2 linked regions of the Callithrix jacchus genome follow. Each later gene encodes a partner of the first gene's protein in a complex. Links are inferred from orthologs where the notes say so. Each region holds a gene or a part of one and is shown on either strand. Other genes may lie near its edges. The genes, in order: TFDP1 and E2F1.

Evidence for each region.
Region 2: the proteins of TFDP1 (region 1) and E2F1 are in contact, whole or in part, in a crystal structure (PDB 2AZE), measured with the Homo sapiens proteins. The link is inferred for Callithrix jacchus from reciprocal best matches to the Homo sapiens genes TFDP1 and E2F1. Residues at the interface, in NP_009042.1 of Homo sapiens: Glu201, Cys202, Leu205, Glu206, Glu208, Arg209, Arg212, Leu213, Arg215, Ile216, Lys219, Gln220, Gln222, Leu223, Leu226, Ile227, Gln229, Gln230, Phe233, Lys234, Leu236, Val237, Arg239, Asn240, Arg241, Glu244, Pro251, Ser255, Val256, Ile257; in NP_005216.1 of Homo sapiens: Arg202, Leu203, Leu206, Thr207, Asp209, Leu210, Leu213, Gln214, Ser216, Glu217, Leu220, Asp221, Leu223, Met224, Ile226, Cys227, Thr228, Gln230, Leu231, Leu234, Asp239, Ser240, Gln241, Arg242, Leu243, Ala244, Tyr245, Val246, Thr247, Cys248.

The regions. Positions count from the first base shown.
Region 1 is NC_133502.1:29,108,350-29,112,886, forward strand, and holds the end of TFDP1 (transcription factor Dp-1), read left to right. Parts: intron 1-319; coding exon 320-398; intron 399-2,576; coding exon 2,577-2,724; 3' UTR 2,725-3,904; downstream 3,905-4,537. UniProt on the Homo sapiens protein: Can stimulate E2F-dependent transcription.
Region 2 is NC_133506.1:5,612,390-5,616,916, forward strand, and holds the start of E2F1 (transcription factor E2F1), read left to right. Parts: upstream 1-1,541; 5' UTR 1,542-1,660; coding exon 1,661-1,921; intron 1,922-4,527. UniProt on the Homo sapiens protein: Transcription activator that binds DNA cooperatively with DP proteins through the E2 recognition site, 5'-TTTC[CG]CGC-3' found in the promoter region of a number of genes whose products are involved in cell cycle regulation or in DNA replication.

The sequences.
Region 1 (4,537 bases):
GGCTGTAGGAAGAGGGTTTCAGCTTGTTCCTTGATCATTCTCTTTCATGATGGGTATGATACTGACACAGCAGCACACATGTGCTGTTTGTAAGTCAGTGTGTGCAGGTATTGCAAGGCTGTTCATGCCTTTTTAGGGAAGACAGGCTATGTGACTGCACAGCGGGATGTCCTCTGTGGCACAGTGCAGAAAATCCTGGACAAGTGAAGGATGTCTGGAAGCTTCCCCAGCTGTCCATCCTGCGGCACTGCGGGTTGTCTGTGTGTCTTGTGTTGTTTCTGTTTCGTGACCATTTGCTTCATTTTCTTTCCTTTTTCAGAAATGGCTCAGGGAACTGTTGGAGGTGTGTTCATCACGACAGCAGGTTCCACATCTAACGGCACGAGGTTCTCCGCCAGGTGACAGCGGTTGAGGGTGTGGGAGAAGCATTGTCTGGGCCTCCTGTGGGGCCCAGGGGCCAAGGCAGGGTGGACGTCTCAGATGTGGCCATCAGGTCTGAGGCTGCTCCGACGTGCTTGTCTTCCCAGGCAGTGGCCCCACCGGCTTTCCCTGTGTGGAGAGCTGCTTTTCCTAGTTGGTTTCTCCTCACTAAAAACTAAAAGTAATACGTGGTGGTTGTTTTTTTTTTTGTTAAAGTATCACCTAAAAAGTAAGTAGGAATGAAAACCACCCAAATCCTTCTGTCCCGGGCAGCCCAAATAACAGCAAGTATTTCTAGTTTTTTTCTCCTATTTTTCAGAACACGTCTGCGGTCACAGTGCATTTGTATTTCAGAACGCATTTGTAGTCATGGCGCATGTATTTTTCAGAACGCATCTGTAATCACAGCACACATATTTTTCAGAACGCATCTGCAGTTACAGTCCACGTATTTTTCAGAGCAGTCACAGTGCACATATTTTTCAGAATGCATCTGTGGTCACAGCGCACGTATTTTCCGAACATGTTTGTGGTCACAGTGCATGTATTTTTCAGAATACGTTTGTGGTCACAGTGCACTTTCTTTTCAGAACACATCTGTGGTCAGAACGCACATGTTTTCTTCCATGCATTTTCACCTTACATTTTATTGTATTTATATATATTATTTCTGTGCTATTAAAGGGCCTTTATTTAAATAAATTCGTATTTAATCTTTGACCTGCCATCCCATAGGGTAGAATGATGTCCCTAGGTATTTATCTTGGTGCTTCAAAGAGAAATATAGCTTTTACAACAGATATTAACAAAACAAAGATTTTATTGACTTTTATATTGCATTGTGATACAATATGTAGTATTACTTTATATTAATCCTAAGTGTTCATAAAATCTTTAATTGGAAATCTAAGAACTTAGTAACCTGTGGGTCCAGATAACAGGGCACGACGTAGTGAGTTGCAGTGCGCATGAGCCTGTGTTGGAATGTGCTGTGGCCGTGAGATGTGACAAGTGTGTCAGGGGTGCATGTAGCTTCCTGGCCAGCTCTGGGGTTACAAAGCCAGTCTCTTCCAGTCTTGGCCTCACCTGTAAGGTGAGACTGGTGATGAGTCGTTGATCTGTGGCAAGGATCAGTGAAGTGGTGATAGAAGAAGGGACTTGTCACAGTGCCTGGTAACAAGGTTTTGACCGAGGCCGGTTCTCTTTCTCTTCAGCTGTGTGTGAATGTGTAGGGGTCAGTCTGTAAACATGTTTAACACTGGTTCTTCCATGAGGTGAAATGTGGGTGTTTTTAGGACTTTCATCATCAGATAATCCTTTTCATGGATGTGATTCTCAGACTTGTCAGTTTTTCATAACAATGGAAACAAAGCTACTACCATTTCTTATGAAATACCAATTTTCAAAGTGGCATGATGGGACATTTTATGAAAGTACCTCATGAAAGGACATCTAGGCAGTTCCCAGTTATCAGGAAAACTACAGTGAGCAGCTTTGCGGCTGAATTTCTCACCATTTCTGACGTGTTTCTAAGATACAGAATCACTTCATCAAAGGCATATTGACTCATTTTCATTGTAGTTAATAAATACTATTAAAATATATTAAAATATATGCATATATTTTTATGCAGTTGGAAAACATTTTTAAATCTTGGAACATTGTGAGCTGTGATTAGTGGTAGGTTTTTGTGGTGCTGCAAACCCTCTGGGTTCCCAGTCCATGCTGCTAGATTCTAGCCGTGCTCTGGACTACATCCTGTCCTGCCCCAGGCTCTCTTTTTTTCCTGTTGCTGGTTATGAGTGAAAGTCCTGGAGGGAGGGATCTAACAGTTTTTCAGTTCATTGCCTCTGGGCACTGCTCCTGATGGAATGATGAGTGAGGGAGAGGGAGCTTGTGGCTCTGCTCAGCCTCCTATTTCTGGCATTGTGGATTCCAGGAGACAGGGTCCGAGGAGAACCAGACGGGGATGGAGTGAGTGCCAGAGTGCTGGCGTGCTGTAGTGCAGACACTCATGACCTCCCAGTTCTGTGTGTGTGACTGACAAAACTGACACCTGTTCGGCGCAGCCTGTCCTTCAGCCGCAGGCCCTGAGGTGAGGGGAGGCCGAGTGGACTGCTCTGCACTGACTGCCTCATCCGCCTCCTGCCTTGCAGTGACCTGACCAACGGTGCAGATGGGATGCTGGCCACAAGCTCCAACGGGTCTCAGTACAGTGGCTCCAGGGTGGAGACCCCAGTGTCCTACGTCGGGGAGGATGACGAGGATGACGATGACTTCAATGAGAATGACGAGGATGACTGACGTCCTCCCCACTTCAAATTCAGCTTCAGGAAAACGTTTAGGGAAAAGAAACTTTTTTTTTTAATGTGGGTTTTCTGTTTCCTTTTGGCCTACTCCCAAGAAGATATTGGTAAGCTATTGAATTTAGATATGCACCTCTGATAAGCAAGGGTTGTTTACCGTAGGATTAGGACGTGCTGTGGATGTGTGTTTTGATACCAGTGTGCTGATGCAGAGCGTTTATTTACTTTTTAGGATTTTGTGTTTTCATTTTTCTGGTTTTCTCTAAGTGCAGAGTTCAGTTTCGCCCCTGAACAGTTTTTGCTGAGTCTGCTGAAGAAATTATATTTCATCCACATCCATGAAAATAAAACACCCTCCTGTGGTGGATGGTGAGCACCTGGTGCCATTTATTTGCCGTGAGTCTGGACGGCACCCCCGCTGGTGGATAGCAGGACTCTGTGGATTGTTCCATTTGGTCAGTGGTACTGTGTCCAGAGCCCCAAGCAAACAGCAGAATTCGACTTTCTAAACAATAAACTTCATCAACCTTATTGACTTTATTTTCCCTTAAATTATATTGACTGTTGTGATTCCATCAAGCTTATCAACTCTTTTCTCTCCCTATTTGCAGCAACAAATTGCAAAGTGCTTTTGTTTGTTTGGTTAGGGCTTATTGCCACGCTGGTGCGGCTATGGAGACTGTCTGGAAGGCTTGGAATGGTTTATTGCTTATGGTAAAATTTGCCTGATTTCTTACAGGCAGCATTTGGAAACCTTTTATTATATAGTTGTTTACATACTTATAAGTCTATCATTTAAAAACATGTACTGAAACAAATGTTGTATTTGTTTCATAAGCATCTTCCTGTAATCTATTATAAAATTGAAATTAAATATAGAGAATGTTTTAACAATTTTTTAACTCAAAATTTGTCAATCATTTTTAATAGTTCTTTTTTTATAAAAAGGAAAAGGAATTTAAGGACAGGCAGTAGTCTCTTTTAAAGTTTATTCACAAAACCCATTAACTGCACAGTTGCTGTTAGCTGCCTGTTCTGAAATGATAGTCTTTTTATTGAAACACAAATAAACTTTTCTGTAATATTTTATGGAATATAAAGAGACTTTAATTGTTTGACTTGTTTAACTTGGCACTGTTAGTTTTTATTAATAAAACGCGCATGGGCATTTTGAACAAGCTGTGTTTCTCTAATTCAGGATTATTGTCTAGAAATTTGTCTGTCTTGTTGGTCTTACTTTATACTTGAGTGAGAAAGTAGGTTGTTATTAGGCCCAGACACAGTGCGTCCTGGTGGTCCCTGTGGGCACACCCCCCGACCAAATTTTGGTCAGAAGCACATCTTCCGGGAGCCCACCCTGAAGATGGAGAGTGGCCAAGGGTGGAGGTCTTGGATATAAGGAAAGGAGGAGGCACCTTTTTTGGTGCCTGTGGTGCAGAGAAAGATAAGCCAAGTTCCTTGGCTTTTTTTCACGATGAAAATTGAGACTTAAAAATGTAAAAGTTTGACTTCCAGAACAAGAATAAGATTGGGAGGCTTCTGGGAAGATGGTGGAATAAGGAAGCCAGGAATCTGACGTCTACTCCCAGGCAGGATCTGCTGGATGCAGCTGTTCTGTAACTACGGAATCTACCAAAGGCTTAAAGCTTACAAGGGAGCATATGGCAGTTAATTTTGGTCAATTTCAGCTTTCTACCCTACCCCTGTTCCTTCATTTTTCTCCTTCTCCTTCTGGGAGCCAGACATTGAAGACTAGGACGTACAAAAATAGCTGTGCCTATGGGGCTGCCCAGGGAGAGGCTCAGAAACGG
Region 2 (4,527 bases), on another chromosome or scaffold:
TCTCCGTCTCTCAGGTTCAAGCAATTTTCCTGCCTCAGCCCCCCAAGTTGCTGGGATTACAGGCATGTGCCACCATACGGGGCTAATTTTGTATTTTTAGTAGAGACAGGGTTTCTCCATGTTGGTTAGGCTGGTCTTGAACTCCGGACCTCAGGTGATCTGCCCTCCTCAGCCTCCCAAAGTGCTGGGATTACAGGTGTGAGTCACCGTGCCCCGCCATGCCTCTGGTTCTTTTATAACCTTTCTCAGTGCCTGCTCTGGGTCAGGCCAGTGTTGGGAGGAAGCGCTACTGAGCTTCTAGATTGGCAGGGGAGGCAGATGGAGAAATGTGTGGTCAGTGTTGGAACAGAGGCAGCAGTGGGCAATAGAGGAAGTGAGTAGATCCTTGGGAGGGGTCCCTAGAAGAAGTGATGTGTTTTGTTTTTGTTTTGTTTTAGAGACAGGATCTTGCTCTGTTGCCCAGGCTGGAGTGCAGTGGCATGATCATAGCTCACTGCAGCCTTCATTTCTCGGACTCAAGCAATCCTCCCACCTCAGCCTCCCAAGTAGCTGGAACTACAGATGGACACCACCACGCCTGGCTAATTTTTGTATTTTTTGTAGAGAAGGGTTTCACCATGTTGCTCAGGCTGGTCTCAAACTCCTGGGCTCAAGAGATCCACCCTGCCCGTTGATTATAGTGATTCCAGGCATGAGCCACCGCTCTGGACCAATGCTTCATCCTATTGTAAACGTCTGTTACCTCTCTGTCCCCTATCCAGTAGACTGTGAGCTCCTTAGGGCCACGAATTAAGGATGGGGGCACAGAGTTAAGGATGGGCACAGAGCAGGCTCTCCTGACGTTTGTTGAATGAGTGAGGGAATGAATTAGTTCAAGCAGACGCTTTACTTGGCCATTGTAGATTTTGGCTAAAATGGGACTTGCAGGAAAGCCCCAGGCTAATATCTGGCGGGTCGTCCCTCCTCATTTCCTGGTACCGCTCTTCAGCTTGGGCTTTGGGTGAGTGGGATAGGGCTGGGTGCAGGGTTAGGATAATGTCATGGGTGTGGTAAGTTGAGGATAGGAGAGGTGGCTGATGGCTGGGCTGTGGAACTGATGATCCCGAAAAGAAGAGGGGGCAGTTTCTGGAGATGTGGGCTGAGGTTGTGGGGGCTACAGGTTGAGGGTCGCGTGAACAGAGGCTCTGTCCTGAACCTGCACTATAGAAAGGTCAGTGGGATGCGGGAGCGTCGGGGCGGGGCCATGTTCCAGTGTCCCCACGCCTCCGGCAGGGGACGCTCGGCCTGGGGGCGGGGAGTCCGACCGCGCCTGGCACTGTCTGGACAAAGCCTGCGCGCGCCCCGCCCCGCCATTGGCCGCGCCGCCCCGCGCCGCCCCGCGCCGCCGCCCCATCCCTCCCGTCGCCGCCGGTCCGGCGCGCTATAGCCAATAGGAGCCGCTGCCGTCGACTTCGTCACGGCCCGGGCAGCCAATCGTGGCGGCGCTCGGCGGCTCGTGGCTCTTTCGCGGCAAAAAGGATTTGGCGCGTAAAAGTGGCCGGGACTTTGCAGGCAGCGGCGGCCGGGGGCGGAGCGGGATGGAGCCCTTGCTGGGGCCTGCCGCCATGGGCCCGCGCCGCCGCCGCCGCCTGTCACCCGGGCCGCGCGGGCCGTGAGCGCCATGGCTTTGGCCGGGGCCCCTGCGGGCGGCCCATGCGCGCCGGCGCTGGAGGCCCTGCTCGGGGCCGGCGCGCTGCGGCTGCTCGACTCCTCGCAGATCGTCATCATCTCCGCCGCACAGGACGCCAGCGTCCCGCCGGCCCCAGCTGGCCCCGCGGCGCCCGCCGCCGGCCCGTGCGACCCCGACCTGCTGCTCTTCGCCACTCCGCAGGCGCCCCGGCCCACACCCAGCGCGCCGCGCCCCGCGCTCGGCCGCCCGCCGGTACGGACCCCAGGGACGCCGCGCCGGCAGCACTGCCTGTGCCCCCTGAGCAGACCTGGGCGGGTGCTGTGTTTGGCCTGGAGGCGGCAGGGGGCGGGGGAGGGGTGGACTGAGGCACCCAGGCTGGGCGGTGCAGAGCCTGGCTTGTGCCTCCAGGCTCCGCCCTGGGGTGCGGGGTGACCTCGGGCCGGTCCCTGTTTGCTCCTCTGCTCTGGGCCTGAGCTTCCTCACTAAAGCCTCCCCAGCGTCGGACTCAATGATAATAATGGCCCACGTGTATTCAACTGGCGTTTATTGCACGCCAGGCCTCGGCCGACTTCAAGCCAGCTGAAACTCACAACCCTGCTGTAAGCCGTGTTGTCACTGTGCCCAGCTGACGGAGGAGGACTGAGGCCCAGAGAGGGACAGTGACTTGCCCCTGGTCACACGGCTGCAGGTGGCGGGGCTGGGATTTGAACTGCGGCCTGCTGGCTTCAGATCAGAATTTGCATCTCGGTAGTGAACACAGCTGCTAGGGGAAGTGAAGGCGGGGCGAGGAAGGTCCTGGGGCTTAACCGTTGGTGAGCCACTGAGGAGACCCTCCTTCCTGCCTCGATGCTGACTGCCAGGTGCAGGACTGGCCGGCCAGGCCTCTGGGGACAGCCCTCCTGGCTGGGAGGCCTTCTCTGCAGGGGCGGGGCAGCTGGACCAGCTGCTGATCTCCTCCCTCTGCCTGTCCTTCCATCTGCCACCCTCCACCCTCCCAGGCCCTGGTTGCCATGGAACCTCATTAATCAGACAGACAGACCCCTGAGCCTCTGTAGAAGAACTAGGTGGGCTGGGCCTCTGGGAGCTGGAGAGGAGGCCCCCAGTGCCAGGAGAGAAAATGTCCCAGGGAGATCCTTTAATAAAGCCGTCCCTGAGTGCTGAGCTCAAGACCAGTTCAGACGGGGCGGGGGGTGGGGGGGGGGTGGTGCCCAGAAGAGGTGGCTGAATTACAGTGGGAGAAGGGATTGGAGGCGTAGAAGCCTGGAGCTGGGACCTGTGGGCTGCAGTACAGGGTGTGGAGACCAGTTTGACTGGCGCAGCCTATGGGTGAAGGTGGGGCTCTGATGTGCAGGCAGGGGCTGGTCAAGCAGGATGGGGTCTCAGCAGGGAGCTTGGAGCAAGTGGGAGGGGTGAGGCAGGGCTTAGGACTAGGAGGTAGAAGCTGCCTAACTGCTGATGGGGGTGAGGGTAGCAGCTGGTCCCTGAGGCATCTAAAGGGGCTCCCCCACCCCCTTGGCCTCATGCCCAGTGCTGCCTTCCGGAATCACCACGATGCTAATAATAATAACAATAGCAGCCACCATTGTTTTGAGGATGTCTTATGTGCCAGGCTCTGCCAAGAGCTTTACCTAATTAACTCATTTAACCCCATCAGCAGCAATCCCTTTTTACAGATTGGGAAGCTGAGGCCTAGAAATACTAGAATCTTCCCATGTCATTCTGCTATTGAGCGGGGGGTTGAATCTGTATTTCCTGTGAGGTTGACCTCTGGGATGCATTGCTTTCTAGGGATGCTGATAGAGGCTGAAGAAAGGGCAGGAAGGGCTTTTGGGGGCCCTTCATCTTAATGAGTGGGTGGGAGGGGTGGGCCAGGTGGCTTGTCTCCTGTACTCCGGGGGTTTGTCCCTGTGGGTAGTGCTTGGGACCTGGGCAAGCATCCTCCATTCAGCTGTGTGACAAGCATATAGCAGGCTCAGGTCTGTGGAAACCTAACAGAACCTGAGGGTCTTGTCCTCAAGGAACTGAACAGGATTATGGATTCTAGGATCAGAAGGAGAAACGGGGCAAAGAAGAGTGCCCTCCACTCTACCTGTCAGGGGCAGGCTTATTGGCCCGGGCATTCCATTCATTCAACAGTTGTTGAGTTAGTGAATGCCTAGGAGGCACTAGGCTCAGAGAAAAGGAGCCCCACCCTCAGAGTCCTTCAGGGCCAGGAGGTGTTTTCTGTACTTAGGGGCAGGAGACTGGAGCTGAAGTCCAGAAGGTCCACAGGTTCGGCTTTTGGCCTCTCTGCACTGGCATTTGTCTGGCACAGTCCCTGGAATAAGCTACAGACTTAGCTTCTGTACCAGCAGGCATTCGTTGAACACTGTATACCAGGCTCTGTGCAATTCAGCCATTTCTCTTGGTCCTGCCTGTCCACTTCCACAAACTCAAATATTTTAAACATAATACATGTTTACTGTAGAAAACTTAACTGTTTTTTTTTTTTGGAGACAGAGTCTCATTCTGTTATGCAGGCTGGAGTACAGTGGTGTGATCAGGGCTCACTGCAACCTCCACCTCCGGAGTTCAAGATATTCTGTGCCTTGGCCTCCCAAGTAGGTGGGATTGCAGGCACATACCACCACACCCAGCTAATTTTTGTATTTTTAGTAGAGACAGGGTCTTGCCATGTTGCCTAGGCTGGTCTTGAACTCTTGAGCTCAGGCAGTCTGACTGTCTCAGCCCCTCAGAGTGCTGGGATTACAGGTGTGTGCCATCACGCCCAACTGAAAACTTAACTTTTTTTTTTTTTTTTTTTGAGAAAGAGTCTCACTCTGTCAGCCCAGGCTGGAGTGCAGTGGCGTGATGCAACC